3 linked regions of the Arabidopsis thaliana genome follow. The protein of the gene in region 3 interacts with the protein of the main gene of each other region in a pairwise test. Each region holds a gene or a part of one and is shown on either strand. Other genes may lie near its edges.

The links.
Region 1: the proteins of HB23 (region 3) and SPL13B interact in a two-hybrid assay, tested with the Arabidopsis thaliana proteins (one large-scale study listed by BioGRID).
Region 2: the proteins of HB23 (region 3) and BHLH92 interact in a two-hybrid assay, tested with the Arabidopsis thaliana proteins (one large-scale study listed by BioGRID).

Annotation. Positions count from the first base shown.
Region 1 is NC_003076.8:20,612,389-20,623,394, forward strand, and holds SPL13B (Squamosa promoter-binding protein-like (SBP domain) transcription factor family protein), read right to left. Parts: upstream 5,676-11,006; 5' UTR 5,320-5,675; intron 5,151-5,319; exon of another isoform or gene 4,776-5,150; 5' UTR 4,746-4,775; coding exon 4,306-4,745; intron 4,235-4,305; coding exon 4,101-4,234; intron 4,015-4,100; coding exon 3,509-4,014; 3' UTR 3,316-3,508; downstream 1-3,315. Other genes in the region: AT5G50660 (transmembrane protein, putative (DUF 3339)), read left to right, coding at 187-390; AT5G50665 (uncharacterized protein), read left to right, coding at 1,297-1,447, 1,810-1,912, 2,175-2,281, 2,725-2,780; SAE1B (SUMO activating enzyme 1B), read left to right, coding at 6,454-6,536, 6,731-6,782, 6,877-7,072, 7,157-7,236, 7,334-7,450, 7,555-7,605, 7,698-7,764, 7,847-7,950 and 2 more; HSD7 (hydroxysteroid dehydrogenase 7), read left to right, coding at 8,942-9,124, 9,228-9,420, 9,502-9,587, 9,658-9,789, 9,879-10,007, 10,074-10,250; HSD1 (hydroxysteroid dehydrogenase 1), read right to left, coding at 10,871-11,006. UniProt on the Arabidopsis thaliana protein: Trans-acting factor that binds specifically to the consensus nucleotide sequence 5'-TNCGTACAA-3'.
Region 2 is NC_003076.8:17,528,195-17,538,461, forward strand, and holds BHLH92 (basic helix-loop-helix (bHLH) DNA-binding superfamily protein), read right to left. Parts: upstream 6,603-10,267; 5' UTR 6,565-6,602; coding exon 6,214-6,564; intron 5,716-6,213; coding exon 5,425-5,715; coding exon of another isoform or gene 5,413-5,424; exon of another isoform or gene 5,218-5,412; coding exon 5,116-5,217; 3' UTR 4,936-5,115; downstream 1-4,935. Other genes in the region: TZP (zinc knuckle (CCHC-type) family protein), read left to right, coding at 1-1,395, 1,476-1,591, 1,675-1,793, 1,891-2,013; AT5G43640 (Ribosomal protein S19 family protein), read left to right, coding at 3,108-3,250, 3,334-3,391, 3,928-4,176; AT5G43660 (2-oxoglutarate (2OG) and Fe(II)-dependent oxygenase superfamily protein), read right to left, coding at 8,143-8,311, 8,388-8,509, 8,596-8,720, 8,806-8,892, 8,973-9,123, 9,196-9,372, 9,448-9,495, 9,821-10,121.
Region 3 is NC_003076.8:15,905,688-15,915,978, forward strand, and holds HB23 (homeobox protein 23), read left to right. Parts: upstream 1-5,662; 5' UTR 5,663-5,855; coding exon 5,856-6,860; 3' UTR 6,861-7,173; downstream 7,174-10,291. Other genes in the region: AGL81 (AGAMOUS-like 81), read left to right, coding at 1,188-2,255. UniProt on the Arabidopsis thaliana protein: Putative transcription factor. Probably involved in establishing polarity during leaf development through the gibberellic acid (GA) signaling pathway.

The sequences.
Region 1 (11,006 bases), 4.7 Mb from region 3:
CATCAACCACAGTTTGACCACGACACTTCTGACGTGTAACACCATGTATTAAGCCATTTCACCAACCATATCACAAGGGTTTCAATATCATCAACGCAAGTAATATAACTTAACTATCTCTCCTCTCTTTTCTTAAGATAACTTCTCTCTCTCTATTCGTTGGTATAAAAAAAGAAGACTAGGAAAATGACGGAGTGGCTTCCGGTGGTGGTCGCGACGGTGTTGTTTGTGGTGCTGAGCCCGGGATTGTTGTTTCAGGTTCCGGGAAACAACAACTTTGTAGACTTCGGGAAGATGGAAACGAGCGGATACTCAATCCTTCTCCACGCCTTCCTTTACTTTGGCCTTGTCACTGTCTTCACCGTCGTCATCCACTTTCCGGGCACTTAATTCTATGTAATCTTTACTTACAAAAACTTTTTCTTCCTATCTATGCTTTTACCTTTTCTATATTATCAGTTATACCATGTTTCCCGTGTTCACCTAATTATTATGCTAATGTTTTGTTACTTTTACGTTATAATGATATCAAACTTGCGATGCGTAAGAAACTTGTTTCGAATTAGTAATGACAAAATGGATAGTTGACTAGTTATACATTTTTGTTACGTTATTAGTATGTTGGAGTATATTAATGTTACAAATGTTATAAAAAGTTTAACCAAAATAGACATCCCAACAAACATAGACAACTATATAATGAATAGCTCGAAACATCTCCGCAGCCATTTCATTTTCATTAACATATGTTTTAGCCAAAAGGATAAGAGTGGTTCTCCTAAGATTCTATAGTTGCAATAAGATGTGTACATAAATAGTTATCTACTCTCTAAACTGTTAACTTGTTGCTAATTGGGTACTACAAGACCAACAGAACCTACACATCAACTAATCAAATGTCAATAAAAACCCACAATTCAACATTTACACTACAAGAAATATGGATATTGATAGCACATTTTAATAGCTCAATTTTTGTAACTGCTATTAAAAATAAAATGTTGGATAAAGACACTATATAATAGCAGTTACGAAATGCTAAACGCTAACATGACTAACCGGACAAATAAAGTTTAATTGAAAAACCTAAAATTATTATAAGCACCAACATTTACCCAAAAATATTACACTTAGCCACCAAATTATTAAAGATACGGCTTTGTGTTTTCTTTTTTCAATGAAGAACAAAATATTTTGTCTCATTCTCTCACAAAAGAAAAACCTAAATCCCTCCGTTCCTCCATCTCCAAATAGACAGCAAAATAAAAAATCCAGAATTTCCTCTTGTCTTCGTCGATGACCAGCGCAAACTTTGAGGATCCCCCTTCTTCTCATCGTCCTCTCCAAAGATGTTCTTACCCAAGCTTTTGTTCTGACATCTCCAAGGTTTCATCATGGTCAGAACTCAACCTACATATATCTACAAAACCAAATCGAGACCTCCACAGTAATACCGTCTATTCAAAACCCTAGATCTACATATTTTGTCTCTCCCTAAAGTTGCAATCGCCAGTCTGAGGTTCCATTACTCCTAATTGTTTTTGCTTCACATCTCATTCAACGCCTAACCTATTACATTCTCGTTTATTTGGGAAAATTAGATTCGAAATTGAAATCGATTCCAAATTAGGATTTGAGATCCGGAGAAACCGCTTAGTCTGCTAACGACACTTCTTTTTTTTTTTGTATTGCGGTCATAGCCAATCCTATCGATGTTGTTAAGTTTCAAAAGTAGACAAATTTACACACTTATCTATAAAATCGTTTTGTGTATATTTGGTTGAGCTTCTTGTGTATGTTTTGTTATAGGCAGACGAGATTACGCAGAAGAACATGTTGCAGGAATTATGTATCAAGGCTCGTGTTGTCTGTTTATTTTAAATATAATATCCAAGAGATATTTGCAGCCATGGTAATTCATCATATATGCCTCTCAATCTCCATCTATCTTTAACCATGAAGTTTCCGTTTACAAGCTTGATTTTCTAGAATTCAAATGTGGTATTTGTAACTTTCATTAGGTTATTAGTTTGAATGACAAACGTCTTTTCTATAGTTTTGAGGTTTTCAATCTGGTTTTCTCATTGTTGTTGTAAGGTTTTCTCATTCTTATTTGGTAATAGTTTGTTTATACTAGGACAAGAGAACTGATTTGAAATTTTTCTTTGTTCCAGGGGATATAAGGGAAACATGGAACTCAACAAGGAAGATATCGTGCCATTGACACCAGCAGCTCAAATCACAGCACCTCCAATCCTACAAGATGGCTCATCTCAACAAGGTAATTTATTAGCATTTTAAGTAACTGTTACAATATTTCAGTTTTTTCAGGTACAGTTTGTTGTCTTTTTTCTCTCATATTAAAGTTGCATAGGAGGGTTTTAGTGCTCAATGCATCTAGAACAGAACTCAATGATTTGGTCTATAGAGTCCATATTCTGTTTCGTTTTCTAAATTATTAAATAAGTGCTTTGGCTTTTCTTTGATTCTGTAATCCTTAACTCTAGTAATTCACGAGAATCATTGACATATGAGAGTTTTTCACTTGCTCCACATGTTCTTTGTTTTCTTTTTATGGTTAAAATACTAAATTTTGCTTAGATATTTTTGCAGATTTTATAAGTCTTGTAACTTCAGAACCTAATAACGTTTGTAACAAAAAGGACAAAATTAATGGATGATTGCCATTAACATTTTGATTTCGGTTTATTTGTTTTCTTACAGCTGAGGATGCGTTTGGATTAGCAGTTTGGTTAGGAAGAGGTTTATCAAGTGTTTAAGCTCAGAGAAGAGATAGTGATGTTAATTCTAAGTTTCATGTAAGATCTGCTCAAGTACTCATTTTTACACTATTCGAGTTTGAAGTTTGATTGGAGAGAAGAAGAAGACTGTACAAGATTATGAGAAGAATTGGAGAAGCGAGTCAAGGTTAGAAAGAAGATGTGATATCATTTTACTTGTGGCATTTGTTATTGTAATGTTAGTTAAGACTTGGATTGAGACTTGTATGGAGATTTTATATATATTGAATTTGATCAAAAAGAGGTTTCTTGCAAATGTGTAACAAAATGTCCCAAACTTATAGGCTGTTTATAGATTTATAGCCAAAAAAATAAAGCTACAACATATCAGATCATAGCCTATAAAATATAGCTACAAAATAATAGTTTATAGCCCTTAAAAAGAGTTACAAAAGTATAACATCAAAATTGTGCAATAACAAAGGAAATCAAAGCATTTCTTTTACGCCATAATATGTGAACATTTAATAGCATAGCAAGAAACGCTATTGTATGTGACCACTCTAAGATAGCTCCGGCAAACACAGCGTTTATGAATCCGCTATGTAAACGTTATTATAGCGTTTTCGGTGTGTTAAGAATGTCCATATTTCTTGTAGTGTTAACAAGAACAATGATGATGATAAAGAACATTGAAAAATGAGGGAGAAGAGAAGAGACACAAATAGATCTTTCTGATTCTATCTATCTACCTACTTCTTCTTCTACTACTCCCAATGAAACGGGAATGTCTGCGGAAGACGGACAGCCTCGTTACCGGATATAACCGATCCATCAGAGACTGCACTCGCATTCTCAAACAATCCCGACCCGTAAAAAACTGTCTCAACTGCTTCTTGGGACAAAGAAAGTGGTGGTTGAAGCAAATGAGGGACTGACGACGAGGAGGATGACAGAAGAGAGAGAGCACAATCAGAGTCATGGATGCAACTCGTCATTCTCTCACACAACGATGCGGTTCTCGAGCTTTCTTCTTCTTGCAAGAAAGGGAATTGTTTTGCTATGCTTCTGGTACTGTTTGGAGAAGAAGAGATTGGAAACATTATCCCTGTCTTTGCAGGAGAAGAACCAACAACATAGCTCTGGCTCTGCCCATAACTCGAACCATTGGCGGCTACAGCAACGCTTACAAGACTATTTCCCCAGCTCGGGTTCAACACAGATGTAGTTGGAAACACATGTGAACCACCAGAAAACTCTAGCAATTTGCTACCTGAAAACATAAAACAATGCTTCTTCATCAACAAGGAACGGTCTATTGGATTCAAGAAACTAACTAACTTTTCTTAAAACAGAAACCTTGAAAACCCGTAAAGAAGTTGGCAGGACGACCGATATGTTCAGGCTGCGGCTTCCGTCGTCTTCGATTATGTCCATCAAGACGTTTCCTACAACTTCTCTTCCCTTCATCAAACTCCTCCAAAGCATGAAACCTAATTAGACACAAATGTTAACATCTTCACCAACCCAACAAGAAGCTTAAACCATTAACACACAATCTTACCTGCTGCATTGTTGACAAAACCTCTGTTTATGACCATTAATAGTAACCACAGGAGTTTTTGAATGAACATCACAAACTTTATGTCTCTTATGATACTCTCTACAATTACTAAAATCAGAATCACATCCATCAACAAGACAAATCGGCATCTGGTTGGTTCCAACACCATTCCCTCTTGTTCTCTTTGAACTCGAGCTTCTTGAACCTTCTGGTTTAGCTAAAGCACTATCTTTCCACTTACTAAGACTAATCACTTGCTCTGTATCACCAAAAACAGAGGAAGAGTTTCCAATGTTTCTTCCAAGTTTTAGATCAAATGAAAAATCCGCTTTTGACTGTGACGACCCACCAAACGAGATCGAACCATCCATTGGTGATAAATCTGGTTCTTGATCGAATCCAGATAAATAACCAGAGCTAAGTTTGAAATTCCAGTCCATTCAAAGATTGTGCTTTTTTTTCTTCTCTCACTATAAAAACACATACATACACAACAGCAATCAAAGCAATATCAAGATTTGTCCTTTTTGATATTGGTACTCTAAATTTAAGAACAAACAGCAAAAACAACTAGTAAACATAAAACCCATGAATCTTTAACTCAATTAAACTTCAACTTCAATACATATGAAGGAAAATAAAAAAGCATAAGCAAAAAGCAAAAACACAATTATAAAGAGTACTCTGAAATTGTAGTTGAAGCTCTAACAAAATGATCTATTTTGATATTGAAAAAAAAACAAAAAAAAAATCCCAAAAAAGGCAAACTAATTGTACTGAAAAAACGAAATGAGAAGTGCAGAAACATAGAAACTAGAACAGATCCCACAAAATGGGAAGAAAGGAAAACAAAAAAAAAAACAAAAAACTTTTTTTCTGTCTACTCAATTCCAAGCAAGAATTAAAAAAATGCAATAAAAATGAAAGATTAAAGTAAGATTATAAACATGTTATTACATTAAAAAAAACTATAGAATAAGAAAAGTTTGTTGTTTGAAGGTTGAGAAATCTTACCAAATCCATACACCTACCAGTAGAGTCAGTAGAAGAAGAAACTCCAAAAGAGAAAGATGAAAATATAAAAAAATGGGACAAGTGAAAAAAAAGAAAGAGAAGATGATGGAGTTTAGCAAGAGAAAGTGGAGACAACAAGTGTGGCTGCTACTTCAATAATGCAAATAAGAGAAAGAGGAAAGAGAGAGAGAAATTGATGATAATAGCTATTACTAAGTTAAGAAATGATTTACTTACTTTAATTGTAACTTTACTTTCCTGATTTAGGGTTTTATTGATATCATTTTTTAAAAACTTTGAGTAAGAAAAAGTGAAGAAAAGAATGGAGGAAAGTGACAGCTGTTGTTGATTGTTCTTTTGCTTACTTTTTCAACTTTTCTTTGTTTATATTTTTCTCTGCCATTCATCAATTCTGAACTCTGAGCATCCGATTTTTATGAATGAACAGAGTATACTTTTGAAAATTTCAAATTACTCATAAATCTTGTATCTTTTTACTGACCCTTATCCAAAATATATTAGTTTTCAAATTGTGATATAAAATAGATGTGGTTTTTTCTTTTTTATAACTATGATGATGATGAAAATGAAACAATAAATTGGAAAGTGATACTAAAGAAAGAGGTATAGGATGCTTAGTTGTTTACGGCAAAAAACATAGCATGTGAATGTTGTGCTTCGCATTACACAACATCTTCTTCTGTTTTTTTTCTTCTCTCTTTCCACCGATACGCGTTATTTTCTTTGACTTTCATAGTTACGGGTCACACAAGTTGTCAATTATCAGGGAGAATCGTATAAAAGTCTTCCATGTCTTTAAAAGTTTTGCAGATGGATTTAAAAGATTTGGGGTCCAAAGCCCATGTTTCATTTGTTTCGGCCCATAAATTGTCCTAAAAAATAACAAATTGGTTATTTATTGAATGCACAGTTGTTTTGAATTTAAAAATTTGTAGTTGACGAACCGGACCAAACCAAAACAAACCATGTAATTTGAATAAATAAAAAGAAAGCAATTTTCCGGTTAACAAAAAATCTCAAACTCAGTGAGTGAGTCACCGAAAACCTCTTGTAGTAGATTCGTGACGGGTTTGATCATCTCTTCGAGGTCGGTTCTAGGGTTTCACTACGAGAATGGACGGAGATGAGCTCACCGAGCAGGAAACTGCTCTTTATGACCGTCAAATTAGGGTATGGGGAGCTGGTGCTCAAAGAAGGTACTTCACATTGAATCTAACTTCTATGGCTTCAAGCAACAACAAGTTATTGATTTTCCGTTTGAGTACTAATAAACTCTTCTTGTTGGGCTATACTCGGTGAAAGTTTATCTCTTTCTGGGTTTTAAGCTAATTTAGCTGTTGAAATTTTGATTAGGGCTTCTCTGAATTTTGTTTTGTGTTTTTGCTTGCAGATTGAGTAAATCTCATGTTTTGGTATCTGGAATTAAGGGCACTGTTGCTGAGGTACCTCTTACTTTATTTTGTGACTCTCTATTAGCTATGTTGCAGTAGAGTGAGTGTTGGCATCTTACTTGGTTTCCTCCATTTGGTGTTGCAGTTTTGTAAGAACATTGTGTTGGCAGGAGTAGGTAGTGTGACTCTGTTGGATGATCGATTGGTTACAACGGAAGTCTTCAACGCAAACTTCTTGATTCTTCCTGATGAAAATGCTTATGTAGGCAAAACCGTAGCTGAGATTTGTTGTGATTCACTTAAGGATTTTAACCCTATGGTTCATGTTTCAATAGAGAAAGGTTACTCCTCCTTTCTTCATTTCTCTCTAATTTTAGTAGAAACAAATGATTTTAGTAACATCGAGTCTATGTCTTCAATTTCAGGTGATTTGTCAACACTTGGTGTTGATTTTTTCGAGAAGTTTGATGTTGTGGTTATCGGCTACAGTTCTCGTGCTACTAAGGTACTGTTGATACCTCCTTCTTTTAGTTGTTCCAGTTGTTTTTGTCTTTTGTTGCCATGTAGATTGATCACTTGAAATAATGTGCTTTGTTATGCAGAAAGCAGTTAATGAAAAGTGTAGGAACCTAGCAAAAGATGTAGCGTTCTATACAGTTGATTGTAGAGGCTCATGTGGCGAAATATTTGTCGACCTTCAGAATTATAAGTACACAAAGGTACTCATCTCGTTTTTTTCTTTTGACGGTTGTATATCACATGCCTTTCTTTTGGCATATAATGTGTTAACTTTCTTTCTCTATTGTCAATTTTGGCTTCATAGAAAAAGCTTGATGAAACAGTGGAATGTGAACTAACATTTCCAAGTTTTGAGGTACAACAAACTTAACTTCTTACTTTCCTGGAACATACTTTCGCATGAAAAGTAATAGAAATTCAATCTATTAACTGGTCTTATTTCTCCAGGAGGCAGTTTCAGTACCGTGGAAACCGATGCCAAGGAGAACAGCAAAGCTCTACTTTGCAATGAGAGGTCTGGCTAACAACAACAGCTAACCTTTTGAAAGCTTGGTTTCTTCCTACGTAACTAATCCGGTTTTGTGATATTCTTGCAGTGATAGAACTATTTGAGGAAACTGAAGGACGTAAACCTGGGGAATGTTCGCTGTCTGATCTCCCAAGAGTTTTGAAACTCAAAAAGGAACTATGTGAAGGAAATGTAAGTTTCTTTAACCTTTATTTGTAAGCTCTACAATAATAACGACAAATAACAAACTTTGTCACTCACTTTGAATCCGAATGTTGCAACAGTCGGTCAGCGAGAATCATATTCCAGATATCCTCTTGGAGAGACTCGTATCTAATAACACAGAATTCCCACCGGCTTGTGCCATCATTGGAGGGATTCTAGGACAGGTACAGTTCTCTATCTCGCTTCTCTAGGACTTTGTTAGTTATCTAGATTAAGCACTTAGCAGAGTAATGTGACTCAAAAAAGTTGTATTTGTACGTACAGGAGGTGATAAAAGTTATATCAGGCAAAGGAGAGCCGTTGAAGAACTTCTTCTACTTTGATGCAGAGGATGGGAAAGGTGTAATCGAGGACCTATCCCACAAGCTTTAACTTCCAAACATGAAAGGTGCTGTGAAACGCTGCTCTTAGTAATTAGTTCCTTGTTGAAGATTGTATTGGAAATTAGACTTTAGAGTACTTAGAACTTGGCTCCTTGTCTTTTGTATCTACTAACTTGGTTCGCTCCTAAAGACAATCTGTAACCCACTATTTACTTTAATCCATCAATTTACACACTCCTATCTATGTGAAGGTGTTCTATTTTGTCCGGAAATTTTCGATTTCGGTTTCTGGCTCTTTGAGTGGCATCTTTATAATATAACAAACAGCAAAATTTGACAGTCTATAGTGAGTTTTGTTATGGTTCATTGCTTAGTGACATTATTTGTTGTTGAGGGAGGTTTCAAACCAATAGAGATGAAAGTGGAAACTTCTCCACAAGTTGAGAAAAATATTTGATAAAAACATAAGTTGGATGAGGACAAACACAAAAGATACCAAATAATGATTTGGAGATTCTCTTATCCTTAATCTTAAATACTAAAGTCTATGACAGTGACATCTGAACAGAAGAAAGCTCAAGAGTATATAAATTGTAGCTTAGCCTCTGGTGAAGCAGAATCACAAAGTCAAGGATATGGATTTAAACAACAAGATCTTTAACATCCTTCTTCCTATTGTCACGGTTTCGTTTCTTTTAGTGTTCATGCCATTTTCAATATTCTTCAAGCTCCTCCAGTTCATAAGGGGATGCAAAGAGTCCGAGAAAGTCAACGGAAAAGTCGTCATCATCACCGGATCTTCCTCAGGAATTGGCGAGGTTAGTTTGTTTGTAATCCTAGAAAAGCTTGGTCTATTTTTTATAAATTGGTTAGTTATTTGGTAAAAAACAAAAGCAATTTGAAGTTGATTTAATGGTGTAGCACCTAGCGTATGAGTATGCTCGTAGAGGAGCATACTTGACTCTAGTAGCTCGGAGAGAGGATCGTCTCCAGGTGGTGGCTGACCGGTGCAGGAAGCTTGGTTCACCAGACGTTGCTGTGGTACGCGGTGATGTCTCAGTCATCAAAGACTGTAAACGTTTTGTTCAAGAAACCATCTCTCGGTTTGGAAGATGTGAGTTAGTCACTATTATTCGAATAACTAATATTACTACTTGCTTAAAGAACATAAAAAATATAACAAAATTTACATCAGTGGATCACTTGGTGAACAATGCTGGAATTGCGGAGGCCAAATTTTTCGAGGACTATTCTGAAATTTCGGATGTTCTTCCCATTGTGGTATACATTTTTAGATTTAATACATAGTGAAGTCTTTTTTACAATATATGAACCTTGGCAAAATTTGCAGAACACTAACTTTTGGGGACCGGTTTACGCGACACATTTCGCTATACCGCATCTCAAGAAAACAAAAGGAAAGATCATAGCGGTTGCATCACCTGCTGGATGGTCTGGAGTACCAAGGATGAGCATATATGCTGTAAATGCTTCTTCTTCTTTTTCTTTCTCTTGTTCTCTAAATTAACCAAGCGTAACATATTAACATAATGAATGTAACATTTGTTTCAGGCAAGCAAAGCAGCTATGATAAACTTCTACGAGACTCTTAGGATCGAGCTTCATCCAGAAGTTGGTGTGACAATCGTGTTTCCTGGTCTAATCGAAAACGGAAATACTAATCCGGACCTTTTAGCTGAGGTATTTTACTATCATCATTTTTCATTTTAGTCTGTCCAAGTTTTATGACTGAAGTCTCTTTTGCAGAAACAAGACTGGTCGCAAGTTGTGACCATCGAGTCAGCAGCGGAATGCGCCAAAGCGGTAGTTAACGGAATCTGCAGAGGCAAAACCTTTGTGGCAGAGCCGTCGTGGGTTCGTGTCCTGTTCTGGCTTAGTGCTATATGCCCTGAGCTTCTGATCTCTAAGCCTAAAAGGAATTAACCAGTTGTGTTGTTTAATAATTGCATAATAGAGATAAAAATCTGAAATACAACATGATGGCCATCTAGTTTTTCTAGTTCTGTTCAGTTTTTTTTTTTTTTGGTTTTAGGAAATGTTCAACCTTTTTTTTTCTTTTTGTCTTTTTTCTTGTCGTGTTTTAAATAGAAAATAAAATAATCAATAATCAATCATTGATCCAAATTACACATCGAAGTGTTTTTATAACAGTTTTAACATGTTCAGTTTAACTCAAACTAGTATAAATTTGTTGGAAAAAATCCAGATCAAAAGAGACAATATCATACTAATTGGAAATTTGACTTTGCTCACTCATGCAAACCGCAAAAATTTTGTTTACCAATCTCAACTACTAGACAAATATAACTTTTGTTCGAATTCAGTTTAAAATATTTCAGTATGGTTGGATTCTCTTCTGTTTCGATACACACATGTTTAGTATTAGGCAACTCACTTATTCTTAAAGACACATAGTTAATATACATAGTCAAAAGTACCATTAACAAAAACAAACCTACATTTTCACCCATTTCTTTGATAATTATTACTCATTGCACATACTCATGATACATCTCATCCATTTATTATGTATTGACCCCTCTCTAATCCGACTTGATTTCTGGAGTTCTGATAGATTCCGGGTACAGAGTACTACGTACACCAGGAATGTCCATGATCCTCTTGTTGAGTGCAGTATCCTCGGACATACCAGTTCCAGTCATGTACAGTAACCGACAA
Region 2 (10,267 bases), 1.6 Mb from region 3:
GGAGAGTTTTGGTAGTGTAGAAAGTTGCAATAGTGCGGGTTTGCTCTCAAGGGGAAAGAAAAGACCAGGCTTTGAGGAGCAGCTGATTTTTGGAAGCAAACGGCTCAAAACGTTAAATCAAGAATGTTTGGGGTCAACTTCAAAGCTCAAGCAAGATAGTTCCTTCATGAATTGGATATCAAATATGACTAAAGGAATCTGGAAAGGTAATGAAGAAGACAATTCTCCTTTTGTAGCTCTTACCACCACCTCAAATGCTAATGGTCATGGCCAAGTCAATGCCATCGTTGACCAACAACAATTGAGTCCATGCTGTGTGAAGGAAAATAGTGGATGCAGAAACACCGGTTTCCAGTCTTTTTTCCAGTCTATATATTGTCCGAAGAAACAAAGTCAAGATGTCGTCGACATGGATTTCCCGAATGATGTTAATGCTGCTCCTTTGCAGGAACTTCCCTGGATTCCTGAACATTGCGACATTTCCAAAGGGGATGACTTGTCTTCATCTGGTAATGAGATTGGTCCAGTGGCTGAACCCAACATTTCATCAGGAAAAGTTGTATTTAATCAGACAAGCAAAACACAGTCTTCAGAGAACAAACGTGAGGACAAAGAGCCAAACATCTCGTTGATGTCTCTTAGTAAGTCTAAGCCAAATGAAGAGCCAAAAACATGCGGTGAAGCTGATGGAAAGGTTAGTCCATGTTTAACCAACAGAAACTCTGGTCTTAAAAGTTTGTGGATTAGTCGGTTTTCTTCTAAAGGTTCGTTCCCTCAGAAAAAGGCAAGTGAAACGGCTAAAGAGGCCAATGCTTCAGCCTCAGACGCAGCTAAAACCCGTGATTCACGGAAAATGCTGGCAGACAAGAATGTTATAAGACCCAGTATCAGCTCGGTAGATGGGCCCGATAAACCGGACACTGTCCTTCCTATAGTTTCGTCAATGAGAATAGAGTCTTCAGAAGCAATGGCTTCTTTGTTTGCTAGAAGATTAGAAGCAATGAAAAGCATCATGCCCTCAGGTTCTTTAGCTGAGAATGCAGAGGAGGAACAGAGGGATCTAATTTGTTTCTACTGCGGTAAAAAGGGTCATTGTTTACGGGATTGTTTGGAAGTAACTGATACTGAGCTCAGAGATCTAGTACAGAACATAAGTGTGCGGAATGGAAGAGAAGAAGCGTCAAGTCTATGCATTAGATGTTTTCAGCTTAGTCACTGGGCTGCAACATGCCCGAATGCTCCCCTGTATGGTTCAGGAGCTGAAGGTAGAGCTATGAAGAACGCTTTAGCTTCTACCTCTGGCATGAAGCTGCCCATAAGTGGTTTCACAGACGTACCAAGGGCGGTCTTTGATGCTGTTCAAGTGCTTCGCCTGAGCCGCACAGACGTTCTCAAGTAAGATCTAATTCACACCTAAAAGACTGTTTCCCTTGTCACATTATGAGGCTTTAACATCTTTTGACATTTCATTTCAGATGGATAAACACCAAGAAGTCTGTATCGGGTCTCGAAGGGTTCTTCTTGCGGTTAAGGCTCGGGAAATGGGAAGAAGGGCTTGGAGGAACAGGGTATTATGTAGCTCGCATAGATGGTTGGTACACTTTCATATAAATCAATACTCAAACTCGCGTATTTCTCGAATATTTGCAACTGAAATATGTTTGTTTTAACCAGGGGACACAGAGGGACAAAGCTCAAGGAGACATTCAGAGAAAAGCTTAATTTCAGTTAAGGTTAAAGGTGTGACTTGCCTTGTTGAGTCTCAGTTTATCTCAAACCAAGACTTTCTTGAGGTATATAATAAAATTTGACCAATTATGTCAAAAGTTTTGAAATTTGCTAATTTGCTAAGTTTTCATCTGAATATTTTGCATTAATTTATCTGAGCAGGAGGAGTTAAAGGCCTGGTGGCAGAGCGCGGGGAAAAGTGCCAGAACAAGCGGCTACGACGGCATCCCGTCGGCGGAGGAACTTAGTCGGAAAATTCAGCAGAGAAAAATGTTAGGCTTTTAGGACATTTGTTCAAGTAGATAAATGTTTTTAAGTTATAGGTTTTACGATTACCCGTGTATTTTTTCGGTTGAAAAGGAGAGTGTAAATTTCTTAGTTCAGAGGGCATCGAATGTCTCAAACCATACAACAATCTAAAACTGGATGTCCAATCTATTTAGATTTGCGAGTTTTATTCGGATCTTTATGTCTCGATGACTATTTATTGTGATTGTTAAGCTTGTATAGTCTATGTGTGAAGGATCAAAGTATCATGGAAGAACAAAGTACATTGATATCAAGAGAGATATTGTGGTGTCTTGCTCATTTTTCATGAGGTATGTTTGATAGAAGTTGATATTTGTCCTAAATGAACTAATCTGTTTTGACATCATATTTATGTTTGGTGTTTTATATCAAAACATATTTTGGATTTAGTGTGCAATGGTCATTGTTGTTTGGCATACAGCTTGCACAATATTGTTTTTAAAGTGTCACCAAATTGAAAATTGGTTCACTCACATGAGCAATCGCTTTAGAAATTTTAGTGCAAGCTGAGACAAAGTATGATGGTTTGGTGCTATAGGAGTTTGTCTTGTAATGCTTGTCAGTGTTGCCTTGACATGAAGTAAAGTAGATGAGGTAAGCCTATTGAAATACCGATCATAATTTATCAAAAATCATGAATATTTTGTAGAGCTAGATAAGTACACTAGATCACTATTCACTACCACTTAATTATTTGCTTGGATAGTTCATAGTTGTATTAGCCTGAACTTTGCAGTAATTAAAAATTCATCAAATCGACCTTCAAACTTTTGAGAATTAGACTTAATAAATTCTGGAAAATGATACATTGTTGGGTTATCTAGCTATTTTTTTTATTTAATATGTTTATTTTCTCTTGGCCTTATTTTCCAAATATATGGGCCCAAATATATTAAAAAATAAAGAGAACATAAAGAAAATATTTTTAGGGTTACAGGATGCGCTACCTATTTATTTGGTGCTTAAGTTAAGTTGTTTGTCTTTTGCGCATACATTGTTTTATTTTGAGGCTTTGTGGATTTTTTAGGGTTTCATCGATCCAACAATGGTCAGTTCCAATCTTTGTGGATATGGAACCAGAGGTTGTTGCGGCTGGAATTGTGAAAAAGAGAACCTTCAAAAAGTTTTCTTTCAGAGGAGTCGATCTCGATGCGCTTCTCGACATGTCCATCGAAGATCTTGTCAAACATTTCAGTTCCCGTATTCGCAGAAGGTTACCTTCTTTCTTTGAACCAAACAAAAGCTTTTGTCTAATTGGTTTTGTGAGACTGATGATGTGTTTTGTTGTCTTTAAAGGTTTTCTAGAGGATTGACCAGAAAACCTATGGCTTTGATTAAGAAATTGCGCAAAGCGGTAAAATCAAAATTTCTCACATCACTAATTAAATGTTACGTTTGTTGAACAACATATTCAATTGTCCAAATCTAGGAATTGTGTATCTTGTATGTTTATATGTCTCATTAAGTTGAGCGATTTTGATGGTTTATTTTATGGCTAATAGAATCGTGTTATCCCTCTTAGTTAAAAGATTATCAGCATGTTTTTATATTCTATGCATTAGTCTTGTGTGACTAATTCAGATAATCTATACCCGGTTTTCGATAATGTTACTTTGGTATTTCATTCTCTATGCAAATATGCATTCTTCCCTATGCAACTTTGCGTTCGATTTTTGTGACCAAATGGCTTTAAACAATAAAGATTATGTCTTAGAATGTCTTGAGTGCGACTATACATAATGTCATTTTTTTTATAACTCAGATAATCTATACCCCACTTTTGTGCTATTGTCCTTATTATGTATCCATATATAGAATAATGTGCTGTTTCTCTGCAACCAAATGGTTTTAAAATACTAAAGAGTCAATGATTTTTGTGTCTTTGAGCAGAAAATGGAGGCACCAGCTGGTGAGAAGCCAGCATCAGTGAGAACACACTTGAGGAACATGATCATTGTGCCTGAAATGATTGGAAGCATCATTGGTGTGTACAACGGAAAGACTTTTAACCAAGTCGAGATCAAGCCGGAGATGATTGGACATTACTTGGCTGAGTTCTCAATCTCATACAAACCGGTAAAGCACGGTAGGCCTGGTGTTGGTGCTACCAATTCCTCCAGGTTTATCCCTCTCAAGTGAAGAAGCTACTTATCTCCATATCTATCTTCTTAGATGACTTTGATCTCATTTTTAAGTCTTAATTTCGATAATTATTTTGATGACTTTCTGTTTAACTCCACCAGGAGGGTTTAGATTTGAGTACTGTGTTAAATTATCTTATTTTGCTCCTCATTCATTTTACCAAATTTAAAGTTTTCAAATATTTGATAAATATGCAAAAAGTTTTGGTTGAAGGAGCTGTTTTCTTGTTTAGTTCCTTCTTGTTTTGACTCGGTAGGTGAAAGTTTATTATCCATTTTTGTATTTCCTATGACAAATCTATGGTCTTTTTTGGCGATTTCATAAGTAATTAAATAATGAACCACATGGTGAACAAGTGTATTTGCTAATAAGATAGTACTAGTTCACAATTATTAAGATTGTAACGCACAAATATATTAATCCCTATGTTCCTAGTTATTTAATGTTTTGAGTTGTTTACTTGTTCCAGCAACGTATTAAGTTGAAGAATAACATTGTATGTTTAAAAACTCTTACTATAGAGTGTACGTAGTAAATAGTATTGAATAATAAATAATAATAGCCAAAGTATTGAACTTTCCAATTTCTATTTTTCAAAATAAACTTTAATTGGGATAGGTTTTTATGCTGGTTTTAATCAAATTTTATGGTATTTTTTATTGATAAAATGCATTACATATTTACCAAATTATCTATCACACAATTTGCAAATTTTGGCACTATATATGGTTATATACTTGATAAATTTTCTATTATATTCTATCAATATTATTTTCTTAGTTTTATTTTTCAAACCTCAAAACTCAAAACTCAAAAGTAGTGTGCCCCATTATTTTTCTTTATGTGTGTCAATAAAGCAATGACCAGTTAATTTAAGTATTTAACTATATACAAATTTAAATACAAAAGAAAATTAATGACAGAAAGTCAACAGAATTAGTAGTCTTTGTAAAAGGAAGCTTCTGGGAGAAAGAGAAGTTTCCATTCAGTTTCCTGGAGTCTTCTTTCCACTCTCTTTTCAACCTCCTCTCCTCTAATCTGCCAAAAAGTTAACTTTAAATTTAATATCATCACACTAATACAGATCTAACTACTTAATTAAAAAAACATACAACCATCTACTTTTTTTTTGCTACTAACACAAAACAACCTACCTATTATTACCTTTATGTACTTGTCAAGTTGTCATAACCAAAGAGAAACCAAAACCGGATTCAACCAATTCGAATCGAATTAAATATGTACCTGAGTCTCGATGGTCATGGTCGCAGAAAACTCTTGAGGAGAGAAATTGGCATGGACTGTTTTCAGTTTTGTTCCCATTGATTTAAGATAATGAAGCGCTTCAAGCATTGAATCTAGTCCAGACAAAGGTTCTTTTAGATTAACCCTAACCTTTGTTTCACTCATTTCATCATGACCATCCTTTGCTGATTTTTCCTCAATCACTTTAATTCTTCTCACTAGTTCTTTCTTTAATCTTTGTAATTTCGCAATCTCATCCACGGCTTTTTCGACAATCGAATTTTTGTCATTCTGAAATAAAATGAGAATATAAGGAGAAATGATGGTCTTGAAACTTGTTTCGATATCAATCTATGATGTTCTTTAAACTTGTTTCTATATCAAAATCCTTAAGTAAAAGAAAATAGTGATAAAAGAAAAGATTCCAGTGCAAAAACTTACAAACATTTTATACAAATGATTGTAGTTGGAAATTTATCATACTCAAAACTTTATATTATACCTTACTCAATATAAATTTATAGATATTTAAGATAAGCTTCTAAAACCAGATCAATGCATGTAATTAAGCATACAAACATCAAAGATCAGTGAACAGACATAGTAGTCGAAATTCTGAAAATTTAGTATCCATGAATCTAATCCATTTCTACCGAATATCTAATTTTGTGTGCCATTTTGAACTGTAAAAATTCGGATTTTTGTTAGAACTACTATGATTTTCTTTCCAAGTCATTAAGAAAAATAAAGTTCGTTTCAAGTTTAATATTACACAAATAATCAAGGTACCTTAGTGGCAAATGGTAGTAGAGAATGGAGAGCTAAGTAACTCTGTTTTTGTTTCTCTCTTCTCGTCCTTTCTTTCAACATATGTCGCCGGCTTCTTTCCTTCTCTGGAGCCACCGTATTTTTCTTCTCCTCCCAATTCTTTCTCAGAAGATTGACCATTCTCTTCTTCACGTTCACCTTCGAAGAAGATATCTTCGGCGACATCATCCTCAGTTCCGTGTCCTTCATATATGACCTAAAGGCGCTTCTGATAGGTACACTGACGCTTCTATCACCCGAGATGTCGGCCACGATTAGATCCCAGAAGTTGTTTTCTTCTTGACAACTCAAACCTAGAAAAAAGTTATCCATCTTTCTCTCTTAGTGTGTTTGACAATCTTGATTTGTGTGATTTTTGATGTTGTCTTTTGTGTGGTGTGTCTATATACCTATTATGATTTAATCACGTGTGGTTTTGTTGATTTAACACACGTGAAACATATTGAGAACGTGGTCAATGAATAGTTTTCTCAGCTTCTTGGTTAGATGAAGTGACGTATATAGGAGAAAACCAGAGACAGTCAAATGATGTATCAAAGGTGAACTCTAGAGAAAGTCAAGTGACGTGTCTTGGCAACAAAATTTAGACATTACGTGACGCGTAAAAGCTATAACTATTTGTTTGTTTGTTTTCAAATTAACCAATTTTCTTTTTGAAGTTAAAGTACAAAATCTCCTTTGTGAGTTCAAAAAACACAACACCGTGGAGAAAAGAAAAGAGCCGGCCCTATACCGTTTTATCAAACCTTAGGGTTTAATAATAATAATTAAGTTCATCAGTCATCACAAGTGGAATTTGTGCGTGTGTGTGTGTGGCATTAGTTTATTCTTCGTCTAATTATTGTAACACATTAGTCATTGAGATTTTCTTTCCACGTATCCTAACTCTTGGGTGGGAAATTTCCTCGTGTGAATGACTTGACTAAAAATATTGACCAACTTCGATTATTTTATTTTCTGATAAGAGATTTTATCTTTACTACACTCGGATAATTGACCACTTCGATGGAAAATTCTTGCTTCTTCAACTTCTTTTTCTTTTACACTACCAACTTCGATTCTAGAAAACGATCTTTTTTAGTATAAATAACGAATTAAGTGATACTCAATTTAATGGGCTTGGGCTTTCTTAACTTCTCATGAATCAGTTTGACTTTCTCCTCTTTTCCCAACGAATTTAGGATTTTCAGAAGTTTCTAGAATCCAGAGCAACAATGGTGGCGAATCAAGTAATCTCCGGCGTTAAAGAAACCGCACAACCAATCACCAGCGCCGCTAGTCCATCGCCGACGCCACCACACGCGTCACACAAAACCTCACACATTTCCGAATCAATTTATCATCCTCTACTTCCTCCTAACCTTCTCTTTAATCACACATCACATCGCGGTTCTAGCATTCATCGCCGTTGGTTTAGCTTGGTACAATGTTACTTTCTCTACTTCGAATCGCTAGTGTTCGGAATTGCACAATTGAATTGGTTCACAATTTTAAAACCGGTTAACCAAATCATACATTTCAAAAAAAAAGCTGACACTGTAAACATATGATTACTAAACCGGTTTTCATGAGTCTAACCGAATGGACCGGCTATATGTACTCTTTTTCAGCTGACACTGAACACTGCTTCGATACGGCGAGTAAACTGTAAACATATAGCCGATCCTAAACATGTAACTGGTAACTTTCATGTACATAGTAGTAATGTAAGAAATTCGAAGACACAAAGACCTATTTACATCAAATGATTCTACATATACTCAGTGTTATTTTCCAAGTAAAGAGTCAAAATTCAAAGCATAGACTTCATTTTTTTCAGCGGGCTTCGGCTTCACTCTATTATCCTAATCATCTCCTGCAATAAGGACCCCCACAGGTTCATAACCATGCTCAAACAAAACATCTTATAAACTTGAGCAAAATCATGTCCTTTTTTCTTTTCTTAACCTTTCTTTTGGAAGCAAGACTCTGGCTTTTCTTTTCTTTCTTTTCACGGGCGCATTGACCGCACCAGTCTCGGAATTCGTTGTCATAAGTTTGCATCTCTCTGAACAAAGAGCTGCAAATGGAAATGCAGAAGAAAAGGTGTTTTAGTTGTGATCTGAAATCCTGAGGCAAGCTTCATGATTGCTTACTTTATGCACCAAAGAATCATATTGGCCCGACTACAAGATGTTATGGCGGCTTTTGCACCATGGCTGTGGCAGCCAAGGTGAAGTATAGCTTGACCCGGTTCATGACAGTACTCAAAAATTTCCTGTTTCAGTGAGAAATAATTGGTTCCTTTATTAGCTAACCATTTTGCCATTTACTGAATATAGGAACGTAAGAGGACTCACATACCTCTGGCTTTGGACCTGCTTTCAAATGTTTATTGCATCGTGTGCCTGTGAATAATATTTCCCCTCCCTCACTTTGTTTACTCAAACAAACATTCAATGTAATGTCTGAATTTTCCACATGAAAGCCTGCAGATTTAAAAGATCACTGCACCAGATTAAAGAATTCACTCTGGTTTTCTCAAGTAATATCAGAAAATCAAAAGGGACTCACCTAATTCAGCATCCCTATCTTCACAATTTTCAATAACGAATCCATGTTGAGTGTCAAACATTGTTCCACACACTTGAGGGAAGAATACTGCAAAACAACATAGTGAAGTTTAATGTTACTTTTTAAAAGTCTTTCTAATGCATTTTTAAGTAATATATACGCCTTGCCTTTGCAAATAGGAAAGATAAAATCCTCCACGAGTGGCTTAAGCATGATATCCATGCCAAAGTCGTCAAGCACAACACCATATTTACTCTTATTGTTTGGTTTCCTGATCATCAATTTTGCCTCATGAAGCCACTTTCTCATATTCTCTACCTGATTAATCAAACAAAGAGGTAAGAGCAGGGCAGAGAATAAGTGGCAAGATGATGTGTTTGTTACTATTACCTCAACAAGCAATTTCTGAAAGAAGTCAGGCTGAAACATTTTAAAGACGTAAACACCAGGAAACGGTTCAAACATTATACGTCTGAAGCTTTCCTCGGTGTTTTCTCTGACCGCCTTGCGGAAACACGGAAGCAATAACGATTCGGGATCAAGTTTATACAACTCCCTGAAACGTGGCTGCAGAAAAAGGAAACATTTCAAAACTATTTGCATCAAGAAAACAATCTAAGTGACGAGCTAAAGTCTCCTCACCTGATAATTGGACATTATCCACTCCCTATAGTTCTTGAACCGTATAGCCTGGAACATTAAACAGACATGAAACTATTCTGAGAAATTGTGGGATTGATTCTATGTGTTCATCTAATGAGATATGATCTCATATCAATCATCATAATGTACATTAAACGTAATTGATTCTAATTGTATCTCTTTAGGAAACTAGATACGCTCCTGTAGCTATATAATCATGTAATAGCTTTTGTGAATAAATCATCAGAAACTTCTGTTCACATCGATCTCTCTAATTGTTCATCATCACAAGATAAACCTAAAGATCACTATCGTAATTTCTTATTACCGATTTCAATTTTAGAGATTGAGATCAAAAAGAAAGAGCAATTACTTTGGCACATTCTTCGCGGGAAATGTACTTGTGCAAAATGTCTGACATGAATTTGGCCTTCTCTTCTCTATTCGCCGTGAGTATTTCCGGCGGTAAGTACCTCTCTAGGGATCTTAATACGGAAGAGCTAAATTCAAGTTCCAGATCTTCGTAGTTATCAGAATTGTGCTCGTTGTTAGGAAGAAGACTCAGCCTCGGGATAGCCATCTTTGTTGTCGCCGCTGCAGTAGTAGTCACCGGTGGTTGATGATCTCTACCTCCGACAGTTCTGTCACCGTCCACCGTCACCTCTTGCCGATCACTTCGAAAGATCAAAATCGAAGTTTCTTTAACCTCTCGATTTGGGGATTCTGGAATTTGGGGTTTCCGTTAAATTTCACCAATTTATTTCCCACCGAGAATTTATTGGCTTTTTCTGTTATCGGCGCGTTTTCGAACACGCGATAT
Region 3 (10,291 bases):
TAAAGGACTTATCTCAGACGCTTGTCACATGTAAAGTTTGATTGTGCCGCTTGAGCAATTGAGCCATATGCGTCTTATATCTCGCTGTCTTCCTCCAAAACCATCGGTTCAATTATGGCTGTGCATATATATATGATATTCTTTATTTGAAGAATTTATTATCGCTTATATCAACATATACACATGAAGACTCAATAATTAAGTGATATTTTTTGTCACTATTTACACAGTAAAAATACACATGTTACTGTACTATCCTTATCTTACATCAAATCCCAATACTAAACTTTCCAAAATGGATCTGCACATTTTAAGTGTTACAAACTCATGTGTATCAATCATAATCACTCTCTGAAAGTTCAACAACGACTTCACAATAAGCAGAGCATCTCCTTAATCTCAAGAGTTCCACTGATGATTAGAGCATAAACTCTTATTCATTCTCTCACAACCCAAACGCAGCATAAACTTCTTTACTAGTTACATTTCCGCCCTAACTCCGCTTATCTATCTTTTCACAACCAATACAACTCACAGTCACACAACACTGCAACTCTCTTAGCTTTCTCAGCCACATATCAACAAGATAAAACCTAATTCTTTCTCTCAAGCTGCACAGAATCAGCTGCTTCTTACTTCGCGTCTCATATGGTCGGAGTCCCGTACAACACAGCCAGAAACAACGGAACAGGGGATGCTCTGTTTCTGAGAAACAATGAAACAGGGGATGCTCTGTTTTTGAGCAACAATGAGTATAACTACTTTAACAACTTGACCGGAGCGTTGACTCGCAAATCTATATGGACAAGCAAATCTTTCCTTTTTATAGTAGATCTTCTTATTAATTAAGAGAGAGTGAAAGAAAAGGAAAAAACTAACTATTTCCTTTTTATCAATCCTTAACGGCTAAATTACACAAAATCTATGCAAAGATATCGAAATCAAATCTTCACAAGATTTTTGTTTTACCGATTAGAAGAGTGACAAAACTAAAATAAAAACGCATTTTTTTCTAACCCTAAGGACCAAATTTTCTATTTCACAAAGTTGTCTCACTCACTTTCATATTCTTCATCATCTTCTTAGGGTTTCCTAAACCTAATTCGTAGTTTCACTCTCTCAATTTCATTCGTCTTCGTGCTTTCAATTACTAGAAACAAAAAAACAGAGAGATAATCAACAAGAAGATGGCCATTCGATCTTTACCTTCTTCCTCTCGCTGTTCCTCTTCTTCTTCTTCTTCTTCTTATTCACTCGCTTCAACGAGTCTAAGCAATAGACTTGAGACCATCTTCAAGAAAGCTTCAGAGCTTTGCACTCTCTGTGATATCGAAGCATGCGTCATCTATTACGGACCAGACGGAGAACTCAAGACATGGCCTCCGGAGCGAGAGAAAGTGGAAGACATCGCTCTCAGGTATAGTCAATTAAACGAAGCCTTGAGAAGGAAGAAAAGTGTTACTCTTTATGACTTCCTGAACAAGAAGAAGGACAAGACGAACTTGGAGAAGAAAGCAAAGATAACGGACAATGATGACTTGAAGACTTGTCTGAAGAACGTGAATATTTTAAAGTATCCACTCGCTGATCATTACTCTCCCGACCAAGTTTCTCAACTGATTCAGTCCTTAGAACCTCATGTCTCTAAAGTCCGAGAAAGGATTCGTTTTGTTGAGTCGCAGAAACACAAGGAGACAAAACCGGATCATCAGAGTTTAGCATCATCCTCTCTGAATCATCAGACCCAATCTTTGAACCCTAGCCAGTTTTCGCTGTTTATGTATAACCATGGAGACAATACTCTGTCTCAGATCCCAGTCTCTGCATCAAATTTCAATCAGGATTATTTCTCAGCGTTACTTGAACAATCTGAGTTGAAGAGTCAGATAATGAAGCAGGATCTTTGTGGTTATGAGCAGAACATGTGCATGAGTAACCATGGAGATGCTACGCTCTCTCAAATCCCACTCTCTGCATCAAATCTCAATCAAGATTTCTCAGCCTTACTACAAGACGAATCTGGCTTGATGCAACAGGAGCTTTGTGGTTATGATCAGAACATGTTTATGAACAACAACAACTTTCAACATTCTTTTGTCTCAAACACACAAGATCACTCTGCTCCTGTGGTACAAGAATCTGTGAACAACAACTATGGGTTGATGCCGCATGTTCCTTGTGGTTATGATCAGAACCTGTTCACGAGTGATATTACCAACAACAACCTTCTTATCAACAACTCGATGTTTCTCTGATAACAAAGCTCATGTCAAGAGAGTGTGAAACTGTTTTTTCATCTTCAAGAATTTTAATATGTTTGTTGTGGATGTTTTATTTTGCTAAGTATTGCATAACGCATAATGTTTTCTTGTATCAAGCTATATTTTACTATGTGAACGTCCAATTTATCAAGTGAATATATATTCCACCGCATCAAAAAGTTATCAATTATTTGGTATATAGCTTCGTGAAAATATCAAACCAAATCACTTATTTTAAGAAAAGCACAAAAAGGATTAAGGATAATAGAAGAACAGTGTCCTAACTTAAAGCTTCAGAGTCCATATTATCACTCCATATTTAGGGACACATATTTCAACTTTTTACACTCCACCATAGTTAGGTATGTGAGCCTAACAAAGTTCTCAATCCACAAAGGAACTTCCTCGATCCCTGTTTGGTTTAGACAGAGACATGAGATGTTGCTTGAGATATCTGGAAAACTCTTCAACTTTGAACATCCACTAAGATCAATTCAGATATTTGAAGTTAGCACCAGTGGGAAGAGACTCTACATTTTTCCTTTTCATCAATTCTAAAAGTCTTCACCTTTTACCAAAACTTCTGAACACTAAAAGGACAGAGGAGACTCTCAAAGTTTTATTGAGCTCTCATATCCTTAAACCGGAAAGAACCACATAATCTTCACTACTAATAGAATCAGGAGATAAAGGCCAAGAGGAGAGTGAAGGAGTCATCACAAGACAAACAATAAATAGCAGTCTGAATATAATTTAATTGTGAAGCTTGCAAACATTATTAGTGTCCAAAAAACAGCACTTGTTTTCATGTTTACTGAAATAGTAATGCTTATGTTGTTCCGTTTAAAGAACATGTGATGATCGCACAGAGAAGAGAGAATCACTGAAATAGTGTTGAAAAAAGAGAATGTTACATACCTATGATGAGAAAAGACAAAGACAAAGCGCACTGTGGAGGAATCAGAACTTAGCCTGCATTGTAAACCGCATGATCAAGACTAGTTACCGGTACACAGTGTTCCTGACTTCTTCAACGTTGTCCTTATCTGTCAACATTTCACATTTATGTTCATGTACTTGTTAAAAGACCCTAATAAGCTACCTACTTGATGTTGCTACTATAGAGTGAAGCAATTTGGTGTATACCTCCTGCATCAATCATGATACAATAGTGACATTGGAAACCTCTATGGAAAGAGAAAGTGCATGTGCTGCTAAATACTATCCAACTAACCATAAACAAGTTGGAGATAATTCAGCTTATTATAACATATAACTGGTGTTTCACTACGGAACACATGTGCTTAGTTCTACTTATACAACTAACACACACAGAATGCTTATGCAGCCCACATAGAGCTACTTCTTACCTCTCTCTCTTTCTCACTGTAAAATAAAAATGAAGGAATTAAAAATATAGAATAAACATAGTTTTAAACTAATTTGGAAATACATTTGTCTAACATTAAAATAATTTATACCAATAAGTTTATACTTAGTTACTTGCTAAATCAAATAAAGTGATGATTAGTGATTACATATGCCTATGATTACAAACAAGTGTAACTATGATTTATGCTTCGAACCCAATCATTTTGAGACGTTAGAAAGGGGTAATTTGGGGTCTTCAAACTTCCTTCTTGAATTTGTCTATTTTATACTCAAGTCCTCGGATGGGCTGTTCTGAAATCACTATAGTTGCATGTGTGCAATAACCCGGCCCATAAAAATTAATGCCAATTGTATTATTCCATTAGCCCATTAAGTCATCAATCATTACCACTAAATCTGCTATAAGATTAGCTTCTCTACCTCTAAAGTCTAACCAAAAAGAAAGTCGAAGATATCTTCATCGTTTGCATGTAATCTCCTTTACATGACCATGAAGTCCTTCTACCCATTATGTTTTGGGATTGCATTAATTAAGAACAGAATAGCACTCTCCCCAAAAGAATTCTTTGGAGCCGCAATTATTTAAGCAAAACATTGTCCGTGGATGATTCTTTACGAACGGGCCGTGATAGTTGTGCCAAGGAACATCTCTGTGGGAGAATTCAAAGCTAGTAGGATTCAAGCTCAAATGGACTTATTAAGCTAGGTAGAAATAATAGAAAGATTGAAATGAAATCGCTTATAAAAACTTTATTATGATGCAATTAATAGAAAAGAAAAAAGACTTTAACTTGTCAACAAGAATACAATGATTCAAAATTGATATTTTTATAAGGGGTTTGTGCAAAAAAAAATCATAATTAAGTCGCTAATTTTTTCAACTTTACCATTAATCTCTACAAAATACATAATAATCCTATAAAATACAAAATAAGACGCAATATAGCCCTATACATATATTGTAAATGTTTCTATGATCACATACATTTGCTTTTTAAAATTGTGAAAGTAGAGTTGGACTCCTCGTCTCGAAGATTTTAATTTGATATATTATTTATCAAAATTTTAAAAATTTAACTATAACAAAAAAATGAAGCTATATTGCATATTATTTTTGATTTCATACAATTATTTTGCATTTTTTTAGAGATAGATGATAAATTTGTAAAAATTGACGTCTTTGAAAGTTATTTTTGCACAAAATTCCTTTTATAAAGAAAAAGAAAAAAATTTGTTTTGAGACAACTCTTAAGATTACCTTACAATACATTGATATTTAAAAACAAATTTATATGAATCTCTAGTAGCTATCACCCTAGTTACATTGGCTAATGGATTTCTCATAATAGTTTTGGATCCTCTAATAATCTCTAGTTTTGGATCCTCTAATAATCTCTAGTATATGAAGGACGGAATTTCGATCATTGCTCTCAACTTGTTCATCAAAATCTAGCAAAATTGACATTTTCCGTCGAATATCACCCATATAAACTTAACCATAGTGGAAACCTAAAAATTCACCCCCAACTTTTACAAGAAAGTGATCTTTCTCATTCCTTCATTTGAAAGGTTTGACCTTAACGTTTTTGTTGTAGTCGAAGGAGTATCTTTCACAACATTGCTGATCTTAGAACAAATGTAACCCATTATTACCATAAGACTTATTTTTTCTTTTTCAGTTTTGACTTGTGCCTTTATGTTTAAGACACTAGTAGCCACATTTATTACGCTTTTTCACCGCAAAATTTAACACGCACTCTCTTTGTCGATCCCACAAACTCCATCTACCTAACCATGGTTAAAAATCATCAAACCTTGGTTCCCTTGATTAAAATATCCCTAAATCCAAGTCTCTTTATTATTTCATTTAAAATCATAAATTTAGTTTAATACAATTGTCCTTTTTCAAAATATTATTTCTTTATTTGCTTCAGCAACAGTCGTCATAGTCATCATATCATTTTCTTCTTTTCCTCCTCTAAACGAATATTACCAATAAAAAATCAAGTGGAAAATATGTAATATTAAAAAATCTCCAACAGCTTAAGAAGTTAGAACCTTTTTACTTATCTTTATTTCTTCTTCTTCTTCATTTTTCTATTCACATTCTCTGAAACTCATACCATATTTTCAAAGCTCTTAACCCAAAAACCCTAAGTCTTTTTTTTCTTCAAATTATTGGTTATATTAATGTTTTAAGCTATGATGGATATGACTCCTACAATAACAACAACAACAACACCAACTCCTAAATCACCCGAACCCGAATCCGAAACTCCGACCCGGATCCAACCGGCGAAACCCATTTCCTTTAGCAACGGCATCATCAAACGCCACCACCACCACCACCATCCTCTCCTCTTTACTTACAAAGAATGTCTCAAAAACCACGCGGCGGCTTTAGGTGGTCACGCTCTCGACGGTTGCGGCGAATTCATGCCGTCTCCGTCGTCAATCTCCTCCGATCCAACTTCTCTCAAATGTGCTGCTTGTGGCTGCCACCGTAATTTCCACCGCCGTGATCCAGATAACAACAACGACTCTTCCCAAATCCCTCCTCCTCCTTCCACCGCCGTAGAGTATCAACCTCACCACCGTCATCATCCACCACCACCACCACCTCCTCCACCACCACGTAGTCCTAACTCAGCTTCTCCTCCACCAATCTCTTCCTCTTACATGCTCTTATCTCTCTCCGGTACTAATAACAACAACAACAACTTAGCTTCTTTCTCCGATCTTAACTTCTCCGCCGGAAACAACCACCACCACCACCACCAACATACTCTTCACGGATCTCGTAAAAGATTCCGAACAAAATTCAGCCAGTTTCAGAAAGAGAAGATGCATGAATTCGCCGAACGTGTTGGTTGGAAGATGCAAAAACGTGACGAAGACGATGTTCGTGATTTTTGCCGGCAGATCGGAGTTGATAAAAGTGTTCTCAAAGTTTGGATGCATAACAACAAAAACACCTTTAACCGCCGTGATATCGCCGGAAACGAGATCCGGCAAATCGATAACGGCGGAGGAAACCACACTCCGATTCTCGCCGGCGAGATTAATAACCATAACAATGGACACCACGGTGTCGGAGGAGGAGGAGAGCTTCACCAGAGTGTTAGTAGCGGCGGTGGTGGCGGAGGATTTGATAGTGATAGCGGCGGAGCTAACGGTGGTAACGTTAACGGATCATCGTCGTCGTGAAGTTAAAGATGAGAGTGTCAGGTTAATAAGAAGCTTAGAGTAAGCTTATTCGTATTATCATCGTTAATAACTTTCTATTAAATATTAATTAAGATCTTTAGCTTTGTTTGTTTTTGCATTATTATTAGTTTTGATTTAATGTTCTTTACCACGTCGGTGTCTCGCTCGATGAGGAATAATACCATAACAATGTTCGAATTATATCATTTGTTGTAAACATTTCTATTAATGAACCCTGAAATGTGACTAAGTACTCCAATAAATGGTACACTTTTGATGTGGTAATCTTGTTTCGGATGAAGAAACAAAAAGATTAATAAACGAGTGAAACATGATTAGTTACTATAAATATTCATTTGGTTTCTTATCTTTTAAAGTACTCTTCTTAATTTTATTTGCAACCAAACTAGATGTAGTAGGTGTACTTTTTTTCTTTCTTAGATCCTCTTAATTTTATTTTATTTTTTTATTCTATATCAAATGATTAGCCATCATTAGTATATTAGTAGCATTGTTGTTAACACCCAGTGTTTTCACGTCCGACCCGGACCGTCCGGTCCGACCGGTTGAACCGTGACCCGAACACTTTTCCGGTTTGGGTTTAGTATTAAAATCCAACAAGTTCAAAACCGAAAAAACCCACAAAAACTCATCATTAACCCGTGACCCGATGAACCAGTTGAACTGGCCGGATGTGGGTTTTAAAAAATTCTCTTGATTTTGGAATAAAATATGAGATTTTAGACTTTATTCAATCAATTTTTAGATATTTTTCAGTTCTTAAACCCATTTGATGTTTAAGATTTTGATGAAGACTTCACAATGCCGCCTTAAAAAATGAATCGAATGGTGAGTGAGATATCCGATATTAGTTGTGTGAATTCACGATGTTTTATTAGTTTATTTCCATCATTGCTGATTTTTTACTATATTTGTTACGGTATTAGACATTTAGTTGGATTTAAAAAATTTCATCACTTTATTATTATTGTTTGATTATATATTTATATTTTTTTTTGATGTAAATGATTATTTTTGTTTTAAAATTTATAAGAACTCTAAAAACTCTAAAATCTCTATTAATATTAAATTTATTAAATAAATTTTAATCAATTGACCCGTAGTCTAATCTAATTAACCCGATGATCCAATGATCCAAAAGGTAGTCCGATTCACTGGGTTGGTTTTAAAAATATTGTTAACACCATTTCCTCTTTAATCTATGTCATTGTCATGGATTCATTCCGATAACCCATTTTTGGTATATATGCTTAGTTTTGATTATTCTCATTTGAGAAGTACAAACCAGCATATACCTTTTTATACTTAGAGATTGAATTAGTACAATTCATACTAAAGTTTGATATAACTATTATTATATCACATCGTAGCATCCATAAAATCTATACAACTTCTAAATAAGGGTTTAAGGCGTGGCACTAACACAAATGATTGAGTTGATGAATAATTTAACAATAACTTTCCATTTGGGGAAACGTAGGGATGAGTACTGATATGTCGGCTCTCACAATAAAGAATGAGATTAGGATATTATGGGTATCTCCCATACGGGTTTGTTACAATTATTTAAGCAATTCATTACTACTATTTCTTTATTTAATTTATATAACGCATTTAGTCAAGTCACAAATATCTTTCCGTATTATCTTGGTGGGGACAAAACTTTTGCACAAGCTGAGGTTATGGCCCTAACTGCCATATACCATGTGCACCACTTGTTAATTAATAGTATTATTTATTTTTGTATCAATTTAGCCATCAATTCACATTATCGCAAATAAAACAAAATTAGCCATAGTATAATTTCAACTTTTTTTCTTTCTAATTTATAAGAAAAATACATATATTTAGAACCGAAAATAAAAAATATGAGACTAAACAAGAAATTAAATAGAGAATTATATGTAACCTCAAAGTTAGAATGTATTATGTATAATATAATGAGTCTATCGGTAATTCCAGTATTTTGTAGGTACAAAATTGATCGGTAATTTCTTAATTTTTTTGGTTCAAAATAAATCCGCAATTTTTAGGAGGTAATTTATATTTTCTAGCTTTAAAATATAAAGACAATAAGTCTATCACCTTTTCAGTCGAAAATAGATTAGACATATATACTTTACTATCTTCCCAAAAAAAAAAAAAAAAAGAGTACATAACTATAGTCAGTTGTTTTATTGAAATAAGAAGTAATATTTTATTGAGTTACATTGTGAACTGCAAGAAAACAAATAATAAATGAATCATAAGTATATAATTATAATTTGCCCCCAAAAAGAGTACATAACTATAGTCAGTTGTTTTTTCAGCTGAAATTTGGTACAGTGACAAAAATAATTTCACCCAATCTTAGTGAAGCCATAGAAAAAAAGGTTTTACCATAAGTTTTTAAATTTTTCAAAGAAAGTACAGTTCCTTGTATATGATGGATCATATGTAGACTTGAAAGAAATGGCCCGCCATGTTTTGACATAAATGTCTATATTTCAAATTTAAATGTGATGGTAACCACTGTGATTATATAATGTTCCAATTTCATTTACAATTAGGTATGGATAAGTTTTTATTATTATTATTGAAAAGCAGAGCAACTAACATATATTATCATGTATATAGTAAGGTTGGGATTTACCTTTCTTGAGCACCTAACTTCGTTAATTTTCTCGGTCTTTCTTGTCTTGAGATTCCTTGCCAAATTTAGTTGACAATAGCCAACACTGAACAATAATGAGATCCTTAAATATTTTATTAATAAAGTATGACACCAACTAAAGAGAGTGACAATAAAGATTTATTTTGAGAGATTACTTAAAAAGAAGTGAAATTCTCTAACACCTTTTAACAAAAAAAAAGAAGAAGGTCTTAATTCAATAAAATTGTACCCAACTAAAACATTTTATCGCCATTTTCTTTTCACTGTTTCTTCTGGTTAAATTCTTTTACAGTGTTTCGGATGCAATCTTAATTCCATTTTTATTTAATTTAATTTACAATCTTAATTCTTATCACTGTTTAAAGACTTGGTAAGTTGATTTGTTTGAATAATTTAATTGGATAAATAGATCATATTAGATATTAGTAGATTGGTCCACACTATATGTGTCTATAAAAATAGGGTTCAAGACTATAACTAGAGTTTGAAATGCATAGTCCTAGGCATTGTCCCGAAAAATATTCATGGATAGAACAGGTCGAATAACCTACATCAACGAGAAACAATGTCTACTTATCTACAGATACCATAAATAAATTAACCAGAATATATATAATACTATAGAACTGGTTGTGCTAAAGAAAAAACCAGAGAAAGAAAGAATTTAAACACTAATTTGTAGATGAATAGATTGGTAATGAAGTTACTGTAATAGTTAAATTCGAGTTCAAAATAGTATGAAGGATAGAGACACGAG